Neurospora crassa OR74A: one gene and its partner. The main gene of each other region encodes a partner of the protein of the gene in region 2 in a complex. Links are inferred from orthologs where the notes say so. Each region holds a gene or a part of one and is shown on either strand. Other genes may lie near its edges.

What was found.
Region 1: the proteins of NCU10397 (region 2) and cse-1 are in contact, whole or in part, in an NMR structure (PDB 2JU0), measured with the Saccharomyces cerevisiae proteins. The link is inferred for Neurospora crassa OR74A from reciprocal best matches to the Saccharomyces cerevisiae genes PIK1 and FRQ1. Residues at the interface, in NP_014132.1 of Saccharomyces cerevisiae: Ser122, Tyr123, Gly124, Phe125, Val127, Ala128, Val131, Asn134, Leu135, Gln136, Asn138, Asn141, Thr142, Ser143, Lys151, Glu154, Asn155, Val156, Ala157, Pro158, Ala159, Leu160, Val161, Ser163, Ser164, Met165, Met167, Ser168, Ile170; in NP_010661.3 of Saccharomyces cerevisiae: Trp30, Gly33, Phe34, Arg36, Asp37, Ile51, Tyr52, Phe55, Phe56, Phe64, Phe72, Phe85, Leu89, Thr92, Ser93, Arg94, Lys100, Leu107, Tyr108, Met132, Ser134, Met135, Glu142, Arg148, Lys151, Leu155, Asp176.

What each region holds. Positions count from the first base shown.
Region 1 is NC_026504.1:3,562,039-3,566,348, forward strand, and holds cse-1 (neuronal calcium sensor 1), read right to left. Parts: upstream 3,083-4,310; 5' UTR 2,593-3,082; coding exon 2,582-2,592; intron 2,272-2,581; coding exon 2,186-2,271; intron 1,992-2,185; coding exon 1,696-1,991; intron 1,608-1,695; coding exon 1,428-1,607; 3' UTR 490-1,427; downstream 1-489.
Region 2 is NC_026503.1:1,284,302-1,288,851, forward strand, and holds the start of NCU10397 (phosphatidylinositol 4-kinase PIK1a), read left to right. Parts: upstream 1-1,723; 5' UTR 1,724-2,154; coding exon 2,155-2,234; intron 2,235-2,389; coding exon 2,390-2,576; intron 2,577-2,647; coding exon 2,648-4,550. Other genes in the region: NCU10675 (methionine permease), read left to right, coding at 1-39, 105-206, 260-1,060. UniProt on the Saccharomyces cerevisiae protein: Acts on phosphatidylinositol (PI) in the first committed step in the production of the second messenger inositol 1,4,5,-trisphosphate. PIK1 is part of a nuclear phosphoinositide cycle and could control cytokinesis through the actin cytoskeleton.

The DNA of each region.
Region 1 (4,310 bases), on a different chromosome or scaffold from region 2:
TACACACTGTTATGTTCACCTACGTGGCAAAAGGACACGACGGACCAATTCCCAGTAACGTCTCTTTTGCTTGAGGCAGAATTATATTACCGCTGACACATCCATCCCCTTACACAGACTATATAGAATATAGTCTCGAATATTTCCAAGTGACACCCGTATAAGGTTTGAAGGTGACGGAGTGAGATGTTGAGAGAGATGAAGAACTGCATCAGGAAAGACTAAGAGATAGGTAGGTCAAATGAAGACATAGACGACCATGAATGGGGTAAGCAGAGAAATCATTGCATCACGCATTTGAACGAAAACGGGGGGGGCTTGAATATAGAAAAAGAAAATAACAAAATACGAAAAAAAAAAAATTTAAAAAAATTTACTGTCATTGATATTATATCCCAGAACGGGTTGATCTTGGCGAGCAAGATGACGATGATGTCACTTGTTGGAGTGTTGGCGGTGTTGACTTACAACTAATAGTAATAAAAGATAACCTCCGTTCATGACAAACCTGGCGGTAGGGGAGAGTACGCGGGAATTAGAGAAAGATTACAGTCAACAGCCCGGTTATCACATCATGAAGGGCTCGAAACGGATGAAACATTGAAAAAAAATTGCTAAACCCTCAAAAGAAAAAAAAAAAACCAAGCCTAAAAGTATCCACACACACGACGCGTAAGAGGTAACTTCTGAGTCAAGGTCGTCCATTGTTGCAATTGACCAAGCCGTAGTAGTGTATTCGTTCGTTCCATACCAGCCAGGTAACGCCGTTCATCACGATTTCCTTCTCTTCTTCTTCCTCCTTATTCCGTCTCTATCCCCTCTCACTCCGACTTCCCTTTATGTGCTCTCATGTCCTTCCCCTCTCCCTTCCATCCAATCCGTGTGATCACCAGGTCTGAAATCTCCTCTTTCAAGACCTAAGCCAAGAACAGCACAGCCCCAAAGACCATCACATCCCGGTCGACATCTAGACTAAGAACTGGGCCGAATGGGTGGTACCTAGCGGCGAGGCTCATTTCCGACCACGGAACCATAGATGAGACGCCCCAACAGCATGTGGCCAGCTGTGCTTTCTTCTTATCTTGTCTGATCGATGTATGCGCGCACACTTATCGAGCTGGGCCGAGCCGAGATGGCTGAACCCTCTCTCTTCCCTTCTTTCTCGCAACCATTCCCCTTGTCCATCACGCTTTCCCTGGGATATCTTGCTTCCAAATGAACAACTGATTTCTCTCTTTCTTTTCCACCCTTTATAACTCCAGCTCTGCCTTGTTTCGGGGAGATGAAACTTTGCCTGTTGGCGCTGCAACACACATCAAATCATGCTCCTCCTCTTGGTAAAATTTGCTTCGCCAGACCGTTGCGCGCCGTCCCCCCCTTTGGCTAAACGAAATACCTCGAATGATAATTGATGAAAAGAAACTTGGTTAGACGAGGCCATCGTACAAGGAGAGGGCGGATACGATTGTCTCGTCGCGCTGGCTGCCCTCCTTGAATTCCTTCATGTCGAGGCTGCCGTTTTCGTCCTTGTCCATCATGCGGAAGATCTTGCTGACGCGCTTCTCGGGAGTATCTTCGTCTTCGGGGAGCTTGACCATTGAGCCGACCTGTTTTGAGGGATCAGAATGTTAACGTACAAGATTGCGACGACACGGGAAAGGGCGTAGAGAGATAAGAAAGAAAGGGTAAACCCACCATCTTGTAGATAGCCTCAACGATCTTGAGCATCTCGTCGTAGGTGATCTTGCCATCGCCGTCAATGTCGTACAATTGGAAGGCCCAGTCGAGCTTGTCCTCCATCTTGCCGCGGCTCGTGACGCTCAAGGCGCAGATAAACTCCTTGAAGTCGATGGTGCCAGACTTGTCCGTGTCGAATACGTTAAATACGTAGTCGGCGAATGACGATGGGTCGCCAAAGGGGAAGAACTGTGCGTAGATCTTCTGGAACTCGGCCTTGGTGAGCATGCCGGAGGGGCAATCCTTGAGGAAGCCTGTTTGTGAATGAACTTGTTAGAGGCCGTCTATGAAGCGAAAGATTTGGTTGGCAACGAGGGCGCATAGCAAGCGCTTTCGATGGGGAGACAGCGCCGCATCGGTCAGGGCATGTAATCGTTGGCGGCGACGGCGGCGGTGTTCAAAGGGGTCGTCGGCGATAGGAGAAAGGGGACGGGGATAGGTAACACACCCTTATACCATTGCTGCAACTCCTTCTTGTCAAAGTGGGTGGCCTTTTCCAACTCCTCCAGCTTATCACGCTCGAGCTTGCTCTGCCTGTGTCGGGCGGGGTTCAGTGTCAGCCTCTTCATCTTGCTTTCAGTTTTGGGAGATTGCGCAGAGAAACGACTCCTGCTAAAGAGGCCCATTGTATGATATGTAGAATTGAGTGAAGGACGGGGTAGGTCGACGGTAGAGGAGACTTCAGCAAAACGGATCACGGTCCCTCCTCCACTGCTGAGAAACAGGTGTGCGGTGCGTATTGATGATGATGATGATGATGATGATGGGATGCGGAGAAAGCGGTCGGGTGGTGGGTGCTGATCGGGCAAGAGTCGCGGAGATTTCGGGGGACTTGGTCACTCACGATTTGCCCATTTTCGGATAACTCGGTACTATTTAGCAAATGCTGATGTCGTTCGCAAGGTGGTCCCACGATGCGGCGGTTCGAGGGAAAGGGGTCACTCGGAATGGCGTCGCGTACGGGGTTGGCGCCGAAAGGTCGGAGGAGGGGTTCGGTGACGATCCGTGGGTTTTCTCTCAGGGATACCGTTAACGTTTGTAATTGACTTGGTCGTAGGTAACGAGACGCTGTGTGAAGGGCAAGACGGTGCTCGAGCGATGGGAGCAAGCAGCCTTGTATGGTGGATTTATATTGTCGTCGGCCGATAGGATAGTTCAAGTAGCAGACTCGGTAAGCGGCAATCAGTGAGTGGCCTTGGGGTTGCACCGAAGAGTGAAGAGAAGTAGATAGGAAAAGATGTCGAGGTGTTGGGTTGTAATGGCAAAAAGAAAAAGAAATGGGATCGATGGATGAGCAGGTCTAGAGAGGTATTGGCAGCACAGGAGTGTCAGGGTGCAAGGCGAGAGGCAGGGCAAAATGCGCGGGAGATCGGAGGTGATGACGGCGGCAGTCTGGCGAGATGGGCGACCTTTGATGCAGTGCCCTGGAGCTGCTGCACTAACTGCAGCTAACCACTGTAAGTGCCCTGGCCGTTATTAAAATGTGGAACTAGGGTGACTAGCAGGGGACCATATGTTAGCCAGGAGGTAAGGAACACCCGACCGCTCGAACCTGACGGGAACCTGATCCGCCCGCTCGTTTCGTGCGGCGCCTCACTTCCAGGTTCGACTCCCTCCCATCCATCGATTTGACGCCGGGCCTGGCATGGAGAGGCCAGGCTGTTTCTGACTCGAGTCATCGTCTTTTGCTTGAGAAAGCTGCCTTGTACCTGCTCATGCTGCTGTGGTACACTACTGCCGACGCAGCATCATTTCCATCGATGCGGACTTTTTTCCGAACATTCAGCTTGTTCTCCAGCATGTGTGTTTCAGACTTTACGTGGGGCCCTCACTCCCCTCTCCCAAGGAACTCGGTTGATATTCGCATCCATTTGCAAAGAGGGGCAACGGGCGGGATTTCTAATAACTGGGACAGGGGCTGCACGGCCAAGGAACAAATTCGATCGGGTTCTGGACGTTTGGGTGTAGGTAGGCAGCGCATGCGCCAGCTATCATGCCAGGTTGGCTGGAAAAACTGCTGCTCTCTGATTTGTCGGGCAGGGAGCCCAAGTGACAAGAAGGGCAGGTCTCGAGAGCCCGCGCCGGAGGATGGGAGCGCTGGGAGGTAAACGGAGGCCACCATTCAACCAAACCAACATCAATCGGCAGCCCAGATCCGTACGATGAAGAGATAGGATTGGGGAGGCGACTTCGGAAAAGACACTTTCTGGCAAGATATACTTCAGAGTGATTCTAGCGCCGCCATCCGAACAACATGTACTTCCTCCAGGACTAAACTTTCGAGCCGGAGCCCGGAGGAGTACTTACTACCCATGCCCGGCGGCCGGCTCATCTCACTTTTTGGGGTGACAGTGGAAGTAAATGATATACAAGTAGTTTGCGCTCGATGTCAAACAGCAAACCTCTTGACACCGAATTGCGCAAATTCGACCGCGTTAATGTTCTGTCCATTATATTTAAGCACCATATGTAACCGACGGGCCTGGTACCAACAATTCTCCTTGGTACCATTCTTGAGGCTCTGTCTGCGACACCCAATCATCCTTCGCTTCGAGGAGGCCCAAAGCCCAAAA
Region 2 (4,550 bases):
GTTTTGTATAGTTATGGGGGGTGGGAGAATGCCAATTATGTGAGTGACCCCTCGGAAGTGGGCGGTGATGGGTTGGTGAGGTAATGCTAACAACGGGTTTGTAGGTGTTGAGCGAAGTGAGGGATGCGCCGAAGACGTTGAGACTGGCGGCGCCGATTGCCATCGGGACGGTCACCGTCCTTTACGTCCTGGCGAACATTGCCTATGTGAGTATCCCCTCAAGTGTCTCACAAGAACTTCCATGACTGACAACACACAGTTCGCCGCCATGACCAAAGACGAACTCTCCAAATCCGGCGTCGTCCCCACCGCCATCTTCTTCACCCGCGTCTGGGGTCCCTCGGCCTTCACCGAGCGCGTCATGCCTCTCTTCCTCGCCCTCTCCGCGCTCGGCAACGTCTTTGCGCAATCCTTCGCCATGCCCCGTGTGAAGCAGGAGCTCGCAAAGGAAGGCACTCTCCCCTTCTCGCGCTTCTGGGCGAGCGACTGGCCCGAGCAAAAGTCGCCGACGGGCGCCATTTTGCTGCATTGGATCTTCACCGTGGCCTTGATCCTCGGATCCAGCACCAAGGACGTGTACCAGTTTCTGTCCAACATTTTTACCTACTCGGGCAACTGGATCAAGGTCTTCCTGGGGGTGGGGCTGCTGTATCTCAACTTTACGCCGAGCGAGAACTGGACGACGCCGGAGAACAAGCGGTTCCATAGTTATCCCGTCCTGACGGTGTTTTGGGTTGTCGGGCTGCTGTATACCTGTGCGGCGCCGTTTATCCCGAACACGCTGCTGACCAAGGTTCACTTTTCGGTGGTGCCGGCGCTGGGGACGGGCATGCTGGTTATCGGCGTCATGTATTGGGTGGTTTGGGCCAAGGTGTTGCCGGCGTTTGGGTTCTCTATACAGCACGAGGTGGTGGTGTTGCCGGATGGGAGTGAGAGGGTCAAGTATAAGAGGGTGAGGCCGAGGGGAGGTAGGAGTGGTGCGAGAGGGAGGAGGAATGGGGGGAGGGGAGGGGGGAGAGGAGGAGGAGGAGGAGGAGGGACGACTGTTGTGTGGAGGTGATAGGACGTGTGCACTTGTCGATGTAGAGAAGATACAACGTAGAATAGTAGATCAATGATTCGCGTCTTCGTTTCAGGAACAAGATAAAAGGGGATTTGTTTACTTTGGATGGAGTCTGTGTCCTTTTACCCCTTTTTTTTCATCTTTTTTTCCCTTGGAGCAGAGCCCCTTTTTCGGATGGCGCAAGCGCCCTGGGATCGATCTACTTTGGCCGGTGGAACTAGCACTAAGTGTCTGATCAACATGCCGGTGGGTTAGATCTTCGTGTTCACTTCCATGAATCCCCAATACGAGATGGACCATTGATATGATTTGGGGTGTCATGTTGATGGGAATCCCAACCGCCAAGACGAAACAAGAGCGGATGGGAACACTGTTTCAGCGGTCGTTGGCAGACGCCAAGTGCCTGTAGCAGGGCAAAGGAAAGGCGCTGTGGACGGACACACTGCAGCCGAGGCGGACAAGTCGGCCAGGTGGGGAACGGGACGCGGGGCTCCATCGGGCTTAGCGGATAGGTCCCGTTCAATGTGCCGTGCGAGCGGGTGTTGTTGTATCGAACAATTATTCCTTTCAGTGGACTGCGGCCCCCCCCCCCCCCCCCTGACAGCAGTGACGGCCAACCTCCACCTTCGGAACACCACTTGACACCACCCGGGCACCCTGGCGAGCGAGAGGAAGTGGTTTTGGTGTCCTTCTTGGGAATACTACCTCTACCACCACCACCACCACCACCACATTTCAGTCTCACTTGTCAACACCATAACGAGTAACGACCTAAGCGCGCCCGGCCCCGTCAGCCATGCTCCAGCAGCCCTACGCCGTCGACTCCGTTCATGTTCAAGTCCGATGAAGGCATTGCTTGCGCATGCATGCCTTGCTGCCCTCTGTATCCGTCCATTCTCCAGCCAGCCAGCCAGCCAGCTCCAGTTCCAAGTTAGCTTCCGTCTAGACTGAGTGTACCTACCTAGCTGCTCGATTCTCCCACCTACGCCTACGCCTCGCTTCACCACTTCAGCCTCGCCAGCCCGACATTGACTCTTTCCTCCCATAATCCCCGAGTCGATCTGCGGTCGACCCTCGTTGCGCCATAACCAATGTCTTGGGACTTGTTAAAGCGGTTCCTCGAGAGCGACGTCTTCAACCAAAACCCCTTTCTCTCCGTCTCCTACCTCTCGTCAGTCAGCCATTCCGTTTTGCCAAGATTCGCTACCCCTCCTCCTCCTCCTCCTCCCCCTCCTCCTCCTCCTCCTCTTTCTCTCCTCCTCACTCGGCGCGGCGCGTATCAGTACTGGCCTGGCAAGACACACACTAACATGACCGCACCGCCAGACGATATGCCGACCACATAGGAATTCACTATGTGCTGTGCAGCAAGCTGCGCCAGTTCCCCTACGAGGACATCGAGTTCTTCCTCCCTCAGCTCTGTCACCTTATCATCAGCATCGACAATGAGTCCATGGCCCTGGAGGAGTTTCTCCTCGACCTGTGCGAGGAGTCGGTCACAGCAGCCTTGTTGGTGCGCAGCCCTCTATACACCATCTGACGCTTTGCACGACTCCGAATTGCTGATATCTCGCCCGCTCGCAGACATTCTGGCTCTTCCAAACATACCTACACGACCTATCCGCTAATCCACAGGCCAATGCCTTCAAAATATGCCAGAGAGTGTACAACAAGGTGCAGCATATCGTCTTTGGCGTCTCCGACAGTGCAAGGAACGAGAAGATTACGGAAAACGCTTTGCCAGTGACTGTCCTAGGGAGCTTCGTTCTCGCCAGTATCGCCGCCCCGTTTCTCCCCCATTGGGCTGGCCCGCTTGCCGTCGCGCAAGCCAGAAAGCCCCGCCCTCAAGTCATCGAACCTGTGTTGGACGCTACTCCCGTCAACGCCGCCCCACCTGCTCGCGCGCATACCGTCACTGCTGGTACAACAAAATCGAGACGGGCAAAGGAGGCCCGCCTTACAAGCTCATCGGACCATCAGCTCCAGAGCAACAACAGCAGCCCGGTGGCGCATCGCCCCAAGCCCAAGATCAAGGAACCTCAGCCTGACTCCCGGCCGACGTCTTCGGGGTCTTCTATCAAAACGCCGGTAGAGACCAAGCGACCTACTCCTTTCGATTCCAACGTCTTGGAGGCGCGCCTTAGTTCATCTTCACTGCCTCTACCAACGTCGAATGCCAATTCTCCAGGTCTTGTACACAGGCCGACCACTCCGGCCCTGCGGCCAACGACTGGAGTGAACAGGAGGCACTCGCACCATGTCAAGACGCTCTTGAACCAAGCGGACATGAGCCGCACACAAAAGATGCGGCTACTAAAACAAAACTACTTCCACTGCCAAACAGCATTCCTGACCGCACTAGAGGATATTTCAAACCGACTAGTAATAGTACCAAAGGCTGCACGCCTAAGTGCCCTACGCGCTGAGCTGGCTCTAATCGCTCAAGAACTCCCGGCCGAGGTCGATATCCCAGTCATCTGCCCTCCTACTTTGGTCAACGGCTCTCCTTCGCAGAGCCGACATCACAGGATAGTCCGTCTCAACCCGGCTGAGGCCACGGTACTGAACAGTGCTGAGAAAGTGCCTTTCCTGCTTATGGTTGAGATTTTGAGAGAAGATCTCACATTTGACCCGGATTCTCAAGATAATCAGAGACTTCTGACACAGCTTTTGGTCGAACAAGGAACCAGGAGGCGGATTTTTGACCTTTCCGAGTCTTCTAGGATACCAGCCACACCCCGTTCACAGGAGCCCGTCATCGATAGTGTTTTTGAGCCTTCCTCGGGGGATCTAGGGCACTCGCCACTAATAAAACCGTTCAACGACGAGCCCTTTGCCATACAGCATAACCCCGTTCCTGGCGGTCTCCGCCATGCTGCCACTACTGGGACCAGCTCGACACAATTTGTTGATCTGACGTCAACGCCTCGCAGTTCTGGCACTTCGGGATCCTCTACCCCACCTTTCAGGAGGATGACCCTCCAAAGTCCGCGCAACAACGCGGCCGCCGACCAACCTGATTTCTCTGCCCTTGCCATCCATATGCGGACAGCCTCGCAAATGTTGGCGCAGTTGGATGCAACAAGTGGCAAGCGGCCGCGTCATGAAGTGGCCGCAATCAGGGCAAAGATTATTGCCAGCATGCAGAGTCTGGAGGAGGAGAGTTTTGAAGTCCATGATAGCCAAGGGCCGACCTTCGACATGATTATGGCCAAGGCCAGTGCAGAAAACGTTATCAACGGCAATGTCGCCACGGACGAAGAAATCGAGGCTCCCCTGGAGAAGGTCGAGTCTAACGTGAATCCAAACGCCGGTCTAGCAAGGATGGAAAACGATATCAAGACAGGCGGTCTCCAGCGCAAGGGCGATCGTGATGATCCCAGCGCTGCCGTCTTCGGAGAAGCTTGGGAGATGAAGAAGGAGCGTATCCGCAAGTCCTCTCCTTACGGCTGGATGAAGAACTGGGATCTCGTCAGCGTCATTGTCA